Linked DNA regions of Xenopus tropicalis. The protein of the gene in region 2 purifies or fractionates together with the protein of the main gene of each other region. This does not show direct contact. Links are inferred from orthologs where the notes say so. Each region holds a gene or a part of one and is shown on either strand. Other genes may lie near its edges.

Region 1 (4,168 bases), on a different chromosome or scaffold from region 2:
GAAAGTAAAAATTGCGGCCCTGCCTACGGCACACCAGGCAACATCTCGCGGCACACTAGTGTGCCACGGAACAGTGGTTGAAAAACGCTGATCTAGGGTGTGTTACTATATATTTTAATCTTTTCATTCTTCCTTTTCGCTTTACCAATTTTAAAAAATTATTTTAGCTGTGAACATAAATTAAAAGTTATATTTTAAGATTCTACAGGTGTGCCAAAAAAATTGTGTTCTTTTCATCTTTTGCTTTATATGTGACACACAATGGCCTTCCAGAGATTGTCTGTGTGGGCATGGAATTAAATATCGCACTATTATCAGCAGAGCTCGTGGTTTTCACTTACAGGTATCGGACCCCTTATCCGGAAACCCATTATCCAGAAAGTTCCGAATTACGGAAAGGCCATCTCCCATAGACTCCATTATAATCAAATAATTACCATTCTTAAAAATTATTCCCTTTTTCTCTGTAATAATAAAACAGTACCTTGTACTTGTTCCCAACTAATATATGATTAATCCTTATTGGAAGCAAAACAATCCTATTGGGTTTAATTACTGTTTAAATAATATTTTAGTAGACTTAAGGTAGGAAATCTGAATTACGGAAAACCCCAGGTCCCTACCATTCTGGATAATGGGCCCCATACCTGTAATAACAACTGCAACTCTGCACCTGGGCTACCAGGAATTAAGGATGCAAAATACACTATTTAATTTACATTTTCAGCCACTTACAGGAAAAAAATATCACACAAACTGCTCACTGCACAAAGTAATTGGATAACACTGAGACAGCAAGTACAATTTTTATTGTTACTGTAGGACGACCAAGCCAAAAGTAAATGTGCCAGTCAATGGTTATTACTGGTTGCTGCACTAAGAAACAATGGCAGACACTAATTCTTAGACTGAGGGGAAAAAACGACTTCCTTTTATCATTTTATAGATTGTAAGCTCTACGGGGCAGGGACCTCCTTCATCTTGTGTTTCTGACTCTTATTGCAACTGTACCTTGTATTTATTGTTATACTTTGTATTTATCCATTATCTTTAACCCCGTCTGTATTAATGAATTCTACTGCACAGCGCTGCGTACATAAGTAGCGCTTTATAAATAAAGATATACATACATACATACATACATGGGAAAGTTATAGGATCACCCCGTCTATTATCATCCACTGTACAATTTTTAGGGCTTTTGTTTCCTGTATTATTTGGTTCGGTTATTATTCTTCCATTGCTTAGCAAACTATTTGCATGAATCCCATTTTCTTCCTTGTAGGTCAAGAAAAATATAACTTGTTTAAAGAGCAAGTGGATTTGACGCAACCTGACTGACTGAACGATAACCCCTGGTTCCAACCAGTTGGCCAGTTGCAGCCTAACAGGCCGGGCCGTTGCTTATGACGTCACTAGCAGCGCGCCATTTCCTGCACTTCCTGAGACAACGCGGGTAGCGAGCGCTTTTCAAACTATCCCGACACAGCGGCTACCGGATCCAGCATGTTTCCGTCACCCCGTGCTCAGGGTGTGGGCTCAGCGCGGCGGCCGTTTAATGCCCGACTGACTGGCGGCAGGAAAGGCTTGGGTCCGGGAGTGAGCGCCAGTTCTTCCCCGTCGGCGCTGTACTCGCCTGTGGGTCGTAGAGTTTCCAGCAGTGGCGCCAGATCCACCCCGTCCCGCGTTTATCTCCACCCGGCCGCCTCTGAGACGGTGAATTACAATGTACAGCTGTTTGGTTCCTCCTTGCCAGTTAAAGTAATGGAGGCCCTGTCTAACTCCGGTGTAGACGAGCCCTTGGCTGCTCGCATCCATGAAGGCGGATGGGCATGGCTGGCGTGCAAGGATCGCCTGATCATTTGGAAGATAAGTCACTCCACCTCTGCTAAGTTAATGGTGTGCAAAGAACTGCCTCTTCCACTGAGTGACAGCGAATGGTCTGCTGATTTAGCGGATATTTGTGCCCACACGGGTGACTCTGCTGCTGGACAGGCAGTGGCATTAATGGCGGCCACTCCTGAAGGGTCAGCCCGCTACTGGCCTAACATTCTCCATGAGAGCAACTATATAGAGTCTTACGCTGACTTTGGCTCCTCTCTTTGTGCATTTGTTACAGCTGTAAAAGGCAACAGTTTCATCCTGTCTTCAGAAAAAAATCACCTTGTACGACTGACACCCGACGCGTCCGGAAAGATTAATCAACGTATTCTGCCGCAAGGTCAGGGCATGCTGTCCGGTATTGGCCGCAGGGTGTCCACGCTCTTTGGCATCTTGTCTCCTGCTGTTGAATCCACGCTCTGCAGTGTTCTCTGGGATAAGGGAGATTGCTTCTATACTCTCACAGACTCAAGTATAAACAAATGGGACTTGGATGATGCTTCGGAAAGTCACGTGCTTACCTGGGACATGACCAGAGTCCTAAGAGAAAACATATCTGATGCCATTTGGGGGTCTGAGAGCAACTATGATGATATAAAAAATGGAATTAACATTGATTATTTAAGTCTTAACCAGAACTGTGATGGTTTAGTCATCCTGGCTGCTGCCTGGCATCCTGGTGATAACCCCTGCCAGATATATTACACACTTGTAACCGTGAAAGACGAAGGTTATAATATTTCTGATGAAATTACAGTGGAAGTCACTCAGTTCAACCCTGTGTTTCAGTCTAGAGATATGCAGCTGTGCCAGCTTGTGATACCAAATTTTAGCAGCCAGGCCTGTTACTTGTATACCCAAGATATGGTCTTTGCATGTTCAACAGGAACTGGAAGGAGCACTTTGCCTCAAGAAAAGATTCCATTTGAAGCACAAGGAGATAATATTATAGGAGCTGGATCCTGTGAAGGTTGGCCAGTTTTTTTCATTAGAAAGAGTGGTATGCTGACCGTTGTTGCTAGAGAGACTGCTTCTGTGCTCCCAGAGCACATGGAAGAGTCACTGTTGTCCGTGTCTAAATCCAGCTCTCAGGCTGCAGTAAAGGACTCAACTTCAAGACCTGACCAGATTGCTCATGATGATAAGACCAAACTTCTGAAGGCCGCTTTTTTGAGATGTTGCAGGAAAGACATACTGGGGGCACAGAGCATGGTGGATAGCCTGTTCTCAGATTCAGACATGGGACCAGATGATGAACTGGATCAAGCAGTAAACCAAATAAGCGTCGATTTGATTGATGATTATCCTGCCTCTGATCCTCGTTGGGCTGAATCTGTCCCTGAAGAGGCAGCTGGATTTAGCAACACTTCTCTAATTCTCTTGCATCAGCTGGAAGATAAGATGAAAGCTCACTCCTTTTTTGTGGATTTCCTTCATCAAGTTGGACTTTTCAGTCGTTTGAGCACTTGTCAAGCAAAAGGAATGTTCGTAGCAACTCGACTGTTGCTGTGTGAGCATGCAGAGAAACTGTCTGCTGCAATTGTTTTAAAGAACCACCATGCTAAGCTCCCTGCCTTGGTTAACTCTGCCATACAACTTGCACTTGATAAAAGGATGTGCTCCATACCCCAGAATCTCACTGCCGCCGATGTCTACTTTAGAGAGGTATCCCAAATGGATATTATCTTTGAATGCCTGGTAGACAAAGAGGAAGCTGACTTGGAAAGTACTTCCATGGACTCAGTTGAATGGGCAAATATAGTTGTCAATATCAATACTATTCTGAAAGACATGCTACATGCTGCCTGTCAGTACAGACAAAGTAAAAATTCTCTCTATAAAAATGAAAGTGGAATGCAAGAGCCCGAGTATGTTCCCTGGACTGCTTCTAGTGGAATTGCAGGTATTAGGTCTGTTGTTACACGTCAGCATGGTGTAATATTGAAGATCTACCCACAAGCGGATAGCAGCCTTCGTACTATACTAATTGAGCAGCTTGCAGCCTTGCTAAACTACTTGCTTGATGATTATGTCATCCAACTAAAATCAGTTGATAAACGGACTAATCAAGAAAGATACAGTGTCCTGGAAATGGAGTATGCTCAGAAGCGGTCAGAACTTTTAGCTCCTTTGTTAAGCCTAGGACAGTATGCCTGGGCTTCAAATCTTGCTGAGAAGTACTGTGACTTTGATATCTTGGTGCAGATATGTGAAATGACTGATAATCAGAGCAGGCTGCAAAGGTACATGACTCTATTTTCAGATCAGAATTTTTCAGATTTTCTGT
Region 2 (3,899 bases):
GCCTCAGCCTGAGCTGCCTCCCCGCCCTGCTGCAACCTGATGCATCTGTGTGACAAGAAGACATATTTGTGTACATTAACAAGGAAAAAAATAACGCTGCAAGAACACATTATTATAAATATACATTAAGTTACAGCTTCATCTGCTGGTCACTTTCCGAACATGACGTAGTCAAGGAAGTTAGTTGGTTAGGAAAGATGTAAGAAATCTTATTTGAGGTTCTCACATTTTTGCTAGCCAGAAGAACATCAGATCAGCCCTTTCTTTCGCTTGACAATGTCCTTGGCTACTTCATGTTCGAAAAGTAACCAGCAGGTGGCCCTAATGTAACAAAATGGATTCAATATTAACAGGACTTTTAAACCCTTAATATCTTGGGATTAAAAAAAAAAAAAAAAAATGAATGAATATATATTGCAAAAGTCCTTAAAATAGCACTCATCAATTTTATATCAAGTAATTTTAACTTATCCTTTAAAGTTTTTCAATGATGCACACTTACTTGCAAGCAAGACCCTCGAAGATTGATGTCAGGCCAAGTTTGAACGTCTGGCACAGGGATATTGCTGTGTCAAACAGGCCGGCCTGTACAAGAAGAGCCACCATTTCTTCAGCAGCGGAACTCCCTGCGAAAGAGAGTGCACATCGTTCAGATTAGCAGAGCTTGATATACCGTATATACTCGAGTATAAGCCGATCCGAATATAAGCCGAGGTACCCAATTTTACCTAAGAAAACTGGAAAAACTTATTGACTCGAGTATAAGCCTAGGGTGGGAAATGCAACCGCTACTGCTAAGTTTTAATAATCAAATAAATAACAGATAAATACATAGATAACTTTAGGGAAAGAAAAATGCTACAGCAGCAGACAAAAGCAAGTTTGGGAACGCTAAGGAAGCTGCCATACTAATTATCAAGTACTTGGACCCCAGTGTAGAAGTCCCACCACAATACTACAAAAATAATTTTCTTACATTTTGAAAATCAGTCTTGTGATTGCAGTACAACAGCCCTGCTTTATGGCTAAGCACGCTTCCACTCCTACTCACCAATGTCTTGCCCCTTGCTGGTCCCATCCTGCTTCCCCTTGCCCCCCACTGCCTTAAGAACTCCCCTCCTTGTTAGTGGCCAGAGACTGCCACTCATGACAAGCCCACCTGTGCACCAATCGCCTCCATAGAACTACATATCCCACAATGTGGCCCCCGTGGATGGAGGCGAGTCTGTGCACGCAGGTTAAGGAACTCTTCTGAAGCATGTACAGTATCTGGCACAGGTGCTTGTCCGCCGTGTATAGTGACGAGTCGCTGTGCTGATCTGCCAGCCACATAATCTGCAGGCAGTTCTTTACCTGCACTGTCCGGACCAGGAAGCGGGAGCATTCTTCTTGATCTGACGATGAACGCGCTCGCACGGAGGTGAGTGCGTATGCATTACATCGTCAGATCAAGAGTCGGCAGGAGAGTGAACGGAGTGCACGGTGTCCGTGTGTGACACGCTGCGCGGCGTACGAGGTGGCAGATATGTACCGGCTTACGGCTCTGTTTGAAGAATGCTCCCGCTCCCACAGGTAAACAACTTGCTGCAGATTATATGGCTGGCAGATCAGCACAGCGACTCGTCACTATACACGGCGGCCAAGCATCTGTGCCAGATACATGATACAGAAGCGTTCCTTAACCTTGCGCGCACGGACTCGCCTCCATCGCCTCGTTCGAGCGCATTATGTGCAGGACGGACACAAGTGGAGGTAGGTAGGGGAGAGGAATGCTCGAGTATAAGCCGAAGGGTTACTTTTTGAGCACATTTTTAGTGCTGAAAAACTCGGCTTATACTCGAGTATATACGGTACACAAAACATCATGTCTGATGTCAGGCATGTAACGCTTACCTCAATTGTGGATCCAACAAACAACAATACAAATATATAAAACAGAAAAGTGGTATATTCTGGAAATTATATTCTTATAATCGGTGCTTAGTGATTCAATTTCAATTTCATCAGAACATGGCTGTAAGCCCACAATTAACTTTGCAAATATCCCCAAAATCCCTCTCGACTGCTCTTACTATGTAGGCATCTGGGTAAATGCTGAACAGAGCCTGCTATTTATCTGGGAGAAGAGAAACTCCTTGCATGAGAAATGTAATCCAATCAAAGTTCTCCGTTACCTGCGATCGCTGCTGTACTGGGATTATGCTTTGCCAGAGTCAGCCGCGTCTGCGCAAGAACGTATTCCTTTTCTAAATCTCGCAGCTCCAAGATTTCAATCTGACTACTGCCTAGTCCAGAAAGAACACAAGAATAACAGTTAATATAAAGCAAATTAAACTGAAATAAGTTAATTACAGGAAGAACTGTTTCAAAAGAAAGCTCACTTTTTTGTAGCAAAATGTTCTATATTACTAAAATTTCTTTACTACAACTATCAGCATCTGCCAAAGCTTTCACAGACAGGTGAAGATATAGATCAACCAACTGCATTGAGGCTGCTGGCAGAGAGTTAGTAGTTTTGCAAGAGATTATATGTTGCTTATGTTATAGATTCTAACTACATGCTTCAAGCTCAGCCACAGGATCACACCCTTTACTTGCACTGGGTATTTAAATGTTCACTTTAAGCCAGAGCACCACTACTTATAGACCACAAGGTGGCAGCACAATACACACACCTCTGTGACTAGGCCAAATCAATACCCCATTACACTTTTAGCTGTAATCATCCTGCTCAGCCAACATAGTGGAAGAGTAACAATGTGTAACAGGGACACAGCAGGAAGCACTCAATAATATCCCGGGATACCAGAGAGAAAGATTTGTGCAAGGAAAAGGTAAAATGATAGCAAGTCGTTAGGGCAAAGGCTTACTTGGAACAGCAGATGATTCTCCATCATAGTTCCTCTTGGGGGATGCTCCTGGGCGTTCATACTAGACATTTAAAAAAGAAAAACAGGCAAATAATGATATATATAGGGAAAAGTGGATGGAAGGAAGGACCTTTCTGTTGTATTTAGAATGTATTTAGACAAGAGGTTTCATACCACAGCTCCCGATACCGGCTGCACTATCCAAGCGTATTCTGGACGGATAAGGCGCAAGCAGTTCAGGCATGCCAGATAAGAGTTCACTTGTTTTTGGAGACCCCGTAAGGTACGGACTTCCCTGCCAAGTCGCATCCCATATTCAAACATCACCGTGCCAGCTGAGGGGAAAAACGGGGTTTCAGTTATAGATAGGGAAACTAAGCGCTATAACTAGTGGCAGGGTGGTGCAGGTATAATAAACACACACAATATAGATACATGTGTGTATCTAAAAAAAATAAAATAAATAATATATATATATATATATATATATATATATACACACACACACATCAAAAGGATTATTAGGAACACCATACTAATACGGTGTTTGACCCCCTTTCGCCTTCAGAACTGCCTTAATTCTACGTGGCATTGATTCAACAAGGTGCAGAAAGCATTCTTTATAAATGTTGACCCATATTGAAAGGATAGCATCTTGCAGTTGATGGAGATTTGTGGGATGCACATCCAGGGCACGAAGCTCCCATTCCACCACATCCCAAACATTGTCATGTTCAAGAAACCAATTTGAAATGATTCCAGCTTTGTGCCATGGTGCATTATCCTGCTGGAAGTAGCCAGAGGATGGGTACATGGTGGTCATAAAGGGATGGACATGGTCAGAAACAATGCTCAGGTAGGCCGTGGCATTTAAATGATGCCCAATTGGCACTAAGGGGCCTAAAGTGTGCCAAGAAAACATCCCCCACACCATTACACCACCACCACCAGCCTGCACAGTGGTAACAAGGCATGATGGATCCATGTTCTCATTCTGTTTACGCCAAATTCTGACTCTACCATTTGAAT
Region 3 (5,297 bases), on a different chromosome or scaffold from region 2:
GAATTATATTATGTCATATTAAGACACACTCTTAAACCCATATACCTCATCCTCCCTTGTGGATAGCACAGCAACCCCCAGCATTTATATACTGGTTCACCTCCCACAGGCAGCATAGGGGAGGGAGAGTATGGCACACCCAGGCAGCATAGGGCAGGCATAGTATGGCACACACAGGCAGGGTAGGGCAGGTAGAATATTGCCTGTGGGTGCCATACTCTGCCAGCCCTATGCTGCCTGTGGGTGCCATACTCTGCCAGCCCTATGCTGCCTGTGGGTGCCATACTCTGCCAGCCCTATGCTGCCTGTGGGTGCCATACTCTGCCAGCCCTATGCTGCCTGTGGGTGCCATACTCTGCCAGCCCTATGCTGCCTGTGGGTGCCATACCCTGCCAGCCCTATGCTGCCTGTGGGTGCCATACCCTGCCAGCCCTATGCTGCCTGTGGGTGCCATACTCTGCCTGCCCTATGCTGCCTGTGGGTGCCATACTCTACCTGCCCTATGCTGCCTGTGGGTGCCATACTCTGCCTGCCCTATGCTGCCTGTGGGTGCCATACTCTGCCTGCCCTATGCTGCCTGTGGGTGCCATACTCTGCCTGCCCTATGCTGCCTGTGCCATACACAAAGGCAACATAGGGCAGGCAGTACATACTGTGACTCAGTACCATGTCCTGAGTCATCAATTGACTTGATAGAGCTGAGTCATCTGTGTCCTTGCCTAGTGGTTCTTGCAACCCCAACTTCTCTACTGTATACACTGTAGAAAAGAAATCCTTAAGCACATTTGCTTTCTATGGTCTTTTATACCCAAATCACCTCCATTTCCACAGTCCACACCTACATCTTTTTATAACTTAGATACTTTGAAAATGAGGAGATTATTGCTGCACAGGCAAAGACTAATCTCCAAAAGTATTTCACCTTTGCCTTCCCTATTGCTGCTTTACAACACTTGTGGTATTAACATTCTTTACAAGAATCATCTGTCCCCTCACTTGTAGTTTTTAAAAGCCTTCCTCTTCATTCCTATTAACTTACTTACTCCCACATATCATGCAGCTTAACACTCATATATTCATTTAGATAACATTATGGTCACCATTACCCTGGGCTTCTAGTGCATTTGTTTTATCACTAGGTCAAGTATAGCATAATTCCTTTAGGGGCCCTGAACAATCTGTGACATAAAATTGTTATTTAGTAAGTTTGTAAACTTGTTAAATTAACTGTTCTGACACTAATATTAAGGTCTCCATACACAGGCCGATTCTAGCTGCCGATATCAGTCCGTTAGACCGATTCAGCAGCTAATCGCCAGTGTATGGGCACTACTGATGGGCCTGCCCAACCAATATCTCGATCGGGCAGGTTAAAAAAACCTAGTCGGATCGGGGACCCCATCGGCTTGTTGATGCGGACCCTGAACCAACTTTGCCTATACCGTCGTTATAATTAGATCAAATCAGCCTGGATTCTCCAGATATCGCCCATCAATAGGTGGGGGATATCGGGAGAAGATCAGCTCGCTTGGCGACATCGCCAAGCGAGGGAATCTGAAGGTGTATGGGGACCTTTACTCCAATCAATATCTAATGAAGTCAAATAATTCACTATTATGACTTGACCCAAACTAGCATACCATTATAATTAGTTTGCCTGATGTCTTAAGATTTGTGAAAAGTTCAAACACAAAAGGGCCCTCTCATTTTCCACCACTTATTAATAGGCACCAACTATGACAATACAATAAATAAAATTATTATGTGAACTTATTAAGGAAAAGTGAATTTGAATAAATTGTAGTTGAATAGCCTATTTCTTCAAGGGCCGGGATTTCATACAGTTTCATTTCTTTTATGGCTATTTTTTATATAGTATGGGGGCAATTGGTCCCTTGGCTAGTGAGATAAGAATATCCTTATGTAGAGGAAACAACAGAATGTAATTATGTAGTGTAAATAAAAAGTTCCTTTGTTAAGGTACCTGCATGTCCATAACATCGCCAATGTGTCTGATGTCACACAGTTGTTTAGGATCTCCTTGGTATTCTTCTTCTAGACTTATGGCCCCAAAGTCTGAAGTGGCCCACACACATACCTTGTTTTCCTTGAGCATTAAAAAAAAAAAATCAGTATATGTAGTGTATTGACATGTCATAAAACTGTATGCAAAACTTTCACTAAATATATCAAACTTTGATATGCCTTAACACTAAGGGGCACATTTACAAAAGCACGAATGCACGAGCGTTCATGTGAACGCTCCGAGCGTATTTTCGCAGATTTTTTCGGGCGTCCGCACGACTTTTTCATACGACGCTCAACTTTTTCAGACGTTTGCACGAAAAAATCGGAAAGGTTTTACCGCTGTTTACAATTGTTCGGTATGAAAATTTCATGACTTTCGGGTCGCCAATCCGATATTATCGTGACTAATACGATTTTGTCATAAGCATTTACGTGATATTTGCGATCTTACGAAATTTTCGTTTCCAATACGATTTTTTCCCATTCGTGATTCGGATTCTAAGGCAGTGCTATTTGACATTTGTAGCCATCAGTGGAACTACATCACACTCTGGCACTTTGTGGTGTGCTGTGTCAATAATAATTAAAATTGTGCTAGGAAAATGACTAGATTTACCAACCCCCATTAAGTGTACCCAGGGCTCTTGTGTTACAGGAAACTGTAAGCTTCTTGTAGAGGGTAATACGTCAATGAGTACAAACACATGGCTGCACAATTATTACAATGATCTAAATTAACCATGTAATACTTGGGAAATGCTGCTCTTCCGTAGTTTAAATAACTGTAAGAGTTTGACAGCAGGGGATTCAGGGTATTATAGATCACCTACAGCCGTATCATTGTGATTTTTAGTTTACTCCGAATGTTGGTTAAACACATTTCCCCGTGCCACAACCATACCTCATTATCCCAGGAACCCGTAGCAAACACATCCGGTTGCTGCAGCGACGAGGCCGACACTGGGCGCCAGCGAGTTCTGCTAATTTTGTGAGAGACAAATTTTGCAGCGAATTTATCGTCCATGACACCCTTAATTTTGAGGTTGGCTATGCCACCACTACCCCCTTAATGACGAACACGTCCAGATTACAGGGCTATGTTGAAAAAAAGAGGCAGAGCCTGAAAAAAAGCCGCCAGACGGCGCCTTGTCTGCCACAAGCGTTCTGATTGGCAATTCTCAACAACCCAAACTGTACTTTCATTGGCTATAATTTCCCCGCCATACTTTCTACAGAGTAATCGCTGAGGTGACCAGTGATCGGAGTAAGGAAATAAAATGAAATGCGTTTATTAACGCATTCGTTGCCACAGTACAGTTCAGTGACTATGGCTTGCGCTAAACATACTTTGTTATTAATTATATAGCGTTATCCTTTCATACTGGGTTTTACAGCGTAAAGGAATACAAGACCAAACGGTTAACATATAGAAGTCCTGCTTGTGGCCTAATAATTTAATTAAGAGGGACTTATGTTTGTGTTACAGTGAAACCTTAATTTTAAATAACCTTATTTTGGGTTTTCCCACATTTTACACTGTTTAGGTGGACCCACCGACTTTTAATGCATAATACATTTCTTTGCTTTTACATTTTCCTGGAATTTTACATCATTTCTTTCTGGTCTCCTGAGAAATGTAAAATGGGGGTTTTACTGTATATCATGCACCTTATAAATTATAGGAGGAAAGCACATTGGGCTGTACCTAAAGTTGCCACATTTTGTACAGAAACATATTGGCCACATAGTGAAGAGGCGAGCCGGTGACATAAGGGGCAGGTGGGACAAGGAGACGTGATCATAACATAAATAGGCAAATTGGGCAGGGATGTGGTGAGAAGGGCAAAGTTATACAGTTTTTACAAATATGCACCTATATATTACATTTACAATTTAAAAATATATATATGCCCCCAGCCTTAGGGCTCTGGCACACAGGGAGATTAGTCGCCCGCAACAAAAACTCCCTGTTCGCGGGGGACTAATCTCCCCGAGTTGCCATGACCCGCCATCCCACCGGCGAACTTGTAAGTCGCCGGCGGGATGGCACTCCCGCGAACAGGGAGTTTTGTCGCAGGCGACTAATCTCCCCGTGTGCCAGAGTCCTTAGTAAATCTGGTAATGGAGCTGGGGGTGCATGGTAGGGGGTTGGGTTGCACTGCAGAATTGTCACCACGCACATGCAGCATGTGAAGTCACTTTCACAACGTAGGGGTATGTGACATCACGGGCACAATGATGTCACATCTGCAAAGTAGGGGGTATAGTTAGGTCTGGTGTCTAGAGTGGCATTGTTGTGTACCACTAGAGGGAGCTGCATGCCTAAATGTTAGCTCAGCTACATGTGTTATCCAGCTTGACTTTCTACTTATCCTGCACAACTCCACTGTGAACCCAACAGGCACCAAACCTAAATACAGCACTGTAGCTAGCAGAGATGAAAAGGTAGCATTTTTCCAATGCTTTAGCTATGTAATGGGCTCTCCCTAAACTGCCATGTACAGTATATACTTTCCTAAAATTCTTGTATACACTGCCAAATGGTCTGGCCCTCCCCACAAAAATAAAAAATAATACAAACTTCACCTGACAGAAATAAACTTTCTACATATAGTAAAAAAAATGTGCTGTTTGAATCCCTTAAGTGAGCATATTTACATTTGGTTCTAAAAAATTTAGCTGGTCCAGTTTGTTTATGTAAGCAATATTTACTTTTTATGCTATTGCGCTCTTTGCATTAGCCTCAGGGTGGCACTTGGGGCCCGAACACAGCTTTTACTTTCCTTGGCAACTGAACCTATCACCATAAGGAGATAGTAATGGGTTACCAAAAAGCAGACAAGGAATATAAAATAAACCTGTATGTAGACAATCCACAGCTGACACTGCAGAGTCCCCTTATTAGCCTGATTAATTAGTGAATTTGATTAACTGCTTCCAAAAATGTAGTCAGTTCTCTGGTCTCATGGTAACCTGCAAAAATTGGAGATAAAGGAAATAGGTGATCCATATCAGACAATGAAATTGATTCAACCTTTTATATCCCTGCGAGAACTCATGCAATGTCAAAGCCTGGTTCCAGCTAGCCAAATCTTATAATGAACTTTTTACAGTCTCCCTTTGATTAAAAAAGTCTTAAAGGACATGTAAACCCCACACACAAAAATTGAATCAGTAAACAGCCTCTTTGAAATCTTTCAATACCTGCCACACTGGTTGTCCAGAGGTTAATAGTAAGGCTGCAGCATCTCCTTAATCACTTAGATTTC
Region 4 (4,600 bases), on a different chromosome or scaffold from region 2:
GTGCCAAAATGTTAGGGGTTGTTAGAGGTTGGATTTTAGTCCTATGACATGCAGAGGTGCTGTTGAGGAAATCAGTGTCAGTCAGAAATACCCATATTATCTGTAACAGCTTGGAATAGCAAGTCTAACAAATGTTATGTCTGTTGTAGACAGAAGCAGTGAGAGACAGAGACTGCTTAAAAAGACCAAAACAAGCATTTCTACAACAGCAACATTGTGACCAAAATTACAATTCTGAAGGTTTCTTCCACCTGCAGTAGACAGATCTAAGTTAATTTCTGCACTAAAAGACCAGTAAAACAATAAACAAATACTGTATATACTCGAGTATTAGCCGAGTTTTTCAGCACCAAAAATGTGCTGAAAAAGTCACCCTTGGCTTATACTCGAGTATATGGATTTGAAGATGTAAGTGTCCCCCCCCCCGTGAATGGTCGTACGTGCGTGCGCTTGCCTTTTTAAGTTGGGAGCGCACACGGCAGAAATCCAACAAGCTGTTTTGTTTGGATGAGCTGTTAAGTATTAGGGTGATATTCAGCCACGCTGGGTGACAAGTTGCACAGCTCTGAAGTCAATGGGAAGCAGACTGTGGTGGACATCAGGTATTTTTTTTACCGCGCTACAAATATAGACAATCAAAATGTTCCATGTGAAAATAGTCTAAGTCCCCATTATGGGCCACTTAGACAATAGAAAGCTCTCTGGAGGAGCAAACAGCTATTTAGTAGCTTGAAGGCAGCATTACGGGCTGTTCAACCAAGGTTTGGGCCTCACAGCAGGATGGGAACGCACACAGCAGGATGGGAGAGCACACAGGGGAGCGCACACAGCAGGTTGGCAAGTACTTAGTATGGCAGCTTTCTTAGCCTTCCCAAACTTGCCTGACAGTTAAAAAAAAAAAAAAAAAAAAACAACAAAGCAGTAGGAGCTGCATTTCCCACCCTAGGCTTATACTTGAGTCAATAAATTTTTCCAGTTTTCTTAGGTAAAATTAGGTACCTCGGCGATCGGCTTATACTAGAGTATATACGGTAAATAAACTGTTTCGTATGTGTTTAATTTTAATATACTGCTGCCTTGCACTTACTGGTGTATTAAACAGGACATTTCTTGTCTGGAAATAGTTTTTCTAGATGTTCAATCAACAGATACTAACTAGGGCCTAATTTGCTAGTCCTTTTTTAAAGGGACAGTATAATGAAAGGAAATGTCTCCATTGCCATTAAACAGAGCAAAAGGTTTAGTGATTGGGTACTACTGGGAAAAGCTGCCATGCTTCAATAATGAAAAAAAGTTTATTAGTTATTACAGTATTATGAGTGGCGGATTAATAGCTGTTGCTACCCTATGCAATTGTTGCATGCTTAATACTGTAAATGTGCATGTGCCAGTTGGTGGAAATTGGGTACTCAGCCCCTCATCTTGTTTGTTAATTTAGCCACTAGAATCTAGTGGTGGTCTGGAGCTTTAAAAAGAAAATGCTATATACACCTCTGCTACTGCTCTAGGCACAAACCTTGTGTGCTTGCATAGAAAACACAGCCCTCAATATTAGCATGCTATTCCTAAACGCACACATATTTAAATACACTGTATTTAATGCACAGAGCAGTCGGAGCAGCTTGTAATTTACTTTAACCTTTGTATTCTGGAAGGAAAATGTTATTTTTGTCTTGTTCTTAAGACCCACAGTGGTTCAGTATGGCGGGTAACATGGGCTCACCCAGAATTCGGCCAGGTATTAGCCTCATGTTCGTTTGACAGAACTGCTGCAGTGTGGGAAGAAATAGTTGGTGAATCAAATGATAAACTGCGCGGACAGAGTCATTGGGTAAGACCTATTGTCAGATATATGAGCACATTTTTCCCAGTATTGAGCTTGTTTGAAAACTGTATATATGATTATATGATAATTATATTTTGATTGCACCTTTTCAATATACACCTGGATGTGCATCATTTTTGTCTATATATAACATCATGAGTGTTCAACTGGAAGATTTGTAATTTACCCCAGTATGTACAGTCTGAAAAATGTGGGCAGTCCTTTCCAAATTAAATATTTAGTAAATTTATAGTAAACAAATACAGTTGAATCAGAAACCGCATATTTGCAAACATTAATTCACAGATCCATTTTATTTTGCAAACTTTAAAGCATAGAGAAGTATAAACAAATGCAAGAAATTATGGCATGTGCAAAGGTTTGGACACCCTTTCACCTGACCCTAATTACCCCATTAGGCCTTAATATCTATTAGGAGTTGTCAACTGTTAACATTTGAATAGCATAATGAAATCTCTGTTAGTCAACAATCATGGACTCCATAATGCAACTGTGCGAACATCTGACAAAGTTAATTGTCGCCATGTCATCAAGAAATGGCAGGGGAAGGGGAACTGTGGAAGTCTAGAGACAATCTGACAGAGCAAGATTAAGAGCAAGACTGGTGTTGCATAGTTTCATGGCACAGCACTGCTTACACAAACATGATCTGCATGGAAGAGTCATCAAAGGAAAGCTTAACCTTCAACTTCATCACAAACATCAACATCTAAGCTAAGGAATACAAAACAGTGATCTTTTAAAGTGCTGTGAACTAAAGTAAAAATTAACTCTTTGGCCACTCTCAAAGGTTTGTTTGGAATAAAAAGAAGCAGAATTTGATGACTAAGAAACACATTGGCAACTTTTAAAGGGATAGTGATGTTCAATATTTCAGCAGAAATGTGTCACTATGCCTAAATAAACCCTAATGTCAATCATTTTTTTAATGGAGGTCTCCAACACCAACAGAAAACAAAAGTTGTTTGGTGACTCTATACACTGCTTTATCAATAGGTTAAAAGCTAGAGGTGGCATAGCGCTGACTTTTTGAGCAGCATCCAAATTAAGGGGAAATGTATGTTTGGTCACCATTATTTATTTATTCTGATTCTGCTTTAGGTTAAAAGAACAACACTAGTGGACAGCAGGACATCTGTAACCGATGTAAAGTTTGCTCCAAAACACATGGGTCTGATGCTGGCAACCTGCTCTGCAGATGGAGTGGTGAGAATATATGAGGCCCCTGATGTTATGAACCTCAGTCAGTGGTCCCTGCAGCATGAAATCTCATGCAAACTGAGCTGCAGTTGTATCTCTTGGAATCCCTCTAGGTTAGTTATAAACAATTTACTTTGTTACATCTCTGAATGTGTATATGAAAATAGGAAAGCAAATGAGACTTTGCAGACTATTTACATCAGTGGTTACATAAGTGCTACTTATGCTAGATCTACTCATGTCAAGGAGCATTACATATATGACAAACTAAAGCTTTGCTGAAATGTTAAAGGGAACTATTGTTAAAATTGAAATTTCATATGAGCTTTCTAAATATAATCAGCTAAACATTGGGTATAGTTGCAAAATAAACTTTGTAAATGTTACAAATTTAGTATTAAGTTTTACTAGACATGTAAAGAGGCAGTATTCTTCCGTATTCAACACGCATTTAGTGAATAGATAAACATAATATTTAACAAAGGTTTTCTTCATACAAATACATTTTTTAACTCTCTGGTTCATGCAGGAAGTTTTGCGAGGGAAAGAAGGTAGTTAGTCGGATTAGCAGTTTACAGATAAAACGGCTGATTAGAGCTTTGTTACATTAGGAATTTTCTCCACCAGTGCATCTATGCATCCTATACACTGTGCTATAATTTGCTGAAATGGCAGCTTTAAAGCAAAATACCTATTGGTACCTTTTAATGAAAAATAAAATATGAATGTTCACTTATTAAATTATTAGCATTTCATATTTAAATTAAGGTTTGTTTCATATTATGAATCAAACATTTTATTTATTCTTTTATTTGGTTGTTTTAGCTCCCGAGCCCATTCTCCTATGATTGCTGTAGGCAGTGACGACAGCAGCCCAAATATCATGGGAAAAGTACAGATCTATGAATATAATGAGAACACAAGGTATCGAATACAAAAAAGTTTTCGTACTGTGCGTATTTTTTGCGACTTTTTCGTACTTTGCGACAAGCGTGACTTTCCTTGGGCCATGTTGGAGTTGCAGAGCGCCATTGAGTCCTATGGGAGGCTTCCAAAAACATGCGGTTACGATCGTTCAGATACGAAAATTTCACCACTTTCGGAACGCCATTCCGATATTATCGTGACTATTGCGATTTTTTTTCGGAAGCATTTTCGTGACAATTCCGATCATCAGAAATTATCGTATTTAATCCGAATTTTTTCCATTTCGGGATTCAAACTCGTACTTTGATAAATCTGCCCCATAATCTGGTTCCTCAAGGCAAGCAAGTTCATTTGCCTTTTTCCTTTTTTTTATTCTTTTCATATTGTCCATTTTGACTTTTTTCTTATCTTTCTTTCAGTTTGTATTTTTTGGTATGTAGGCGATAGAAATAGTATGGCAAGTTAAATTAATAATATCACATTTTTTATGCTAATGGTATTTTAATTGTTGCTAAGATGCATCTCCTATTATACCTAAAGGGAGGTTAGAGCTGGCAACTCTTGTTAAGCAACAGATGGTGAACAGCTGGTTGAGAATCTCAGGTCTAATGCACCTGTTCTCTATAA

What was found.
Region 1: the proteins of nup160 (region 2) and nup133 purify together in Homo sapiens (co-immunoprecipitation; 4 studies listed by BioGRID and IntAct, with this or other methods). This does not show direct contact. The link is inferred for Xenopus tropicalis from reciprocal best matches to the Homo sapiens genes NUP160 and NUP133.
Region 3: the proteins of nup160 (region 2) and nup43 purify together in Homo sapiens (affinity purification with mass spectrometry; 5 studies listed by BioGRID and IntAct, counting the BioPlex papers as one, with this or other methods). This does not show direct contact. The link is inferred for Xenopus tropicalis from reciprocal best matches to the Homo sapiens genes NUP160 and NUP43.
Region 4: the proteins of nup160 (region 2) and seh1l fractionate together in Homo sapiens (co-fractionation; 3 studies listed by BioGRID and IntAct, with this or other methods). This does not show direct contact. The link is inferred for Xenopus tropicalis from reciprocal best matches to the Homo sapiens genes NUP160 and SEH1L.

The regions. Positions count from the first base shown.
Region 1 is NC_030679.2:125,105,843-125,110,010, forward strand, and holds the start of nup133 (nuclear pore complex protein Nup133), read left to right. Parts: upstream 1-1,368; 5' UTR 1,369-1,506; coding exon 1,507-4,168. UniProt on the Homo sapiens protein: Involved in poly(A)+ RNA transport. Involved in nephrogenesis.
Region 2 is NC_030680.2:16,001,096-16,004,994, reverse strand, and holds part of nup160 (nuclear pore complex protein Nup160), read right to left. Parts: intron 3,206-3,899; coding exon 3,045-3,205; intron 2,932-3,044; coding exon 2,871-2,931; intron 2,286-2,870; coding exon 2,175-2,285; intron 627-2,174; coding exon 503-626; intron 46-502; coding exon 1-45. UniProt on the Homo sapiens protein: Functions as a component of the nuclear pore complex (NPC). Involved in poly(A)+ RNA transport.
Region 3 is NC_030681.2:58,289,290-58,294,586, forward strand, and holds the start of nup43 (nucleoporin Nup43), read right to left. Parts: upstream 3,346-5,297; 5' UTR 3,053-3,345; coding exon 2,930-3,052; intron 2,108-2,929; coding exon 1,985-2,107; intron 1-1,984. UniProt on the Homo sapiens protein: Component of the Nup107-160 subcomplex of the nuclear pore complex (NPC). The Nup107-160 subcomplex is required for the assembly of a functional NPC.
Region 4 is NC_030682.2:103,472,190-103,476,789, reverse strand, and holds part of seh1l (nucleoporin SEH1), read left to right. Parts: intron 1-1,684; coding exon 1,685-1,831; intron 1,832-2,947; coding exon 2,948-3,159; intron 3,160-3,871; coding exon 3,872-3,970; intron 3,971-4,600. UniProt on the Homo sapiens protein: Component of the Nup107-160 subcomplex of the nuclear pore complex (NPC). The Nup107-160 subcomplex is required for the assembly of a functional NPC.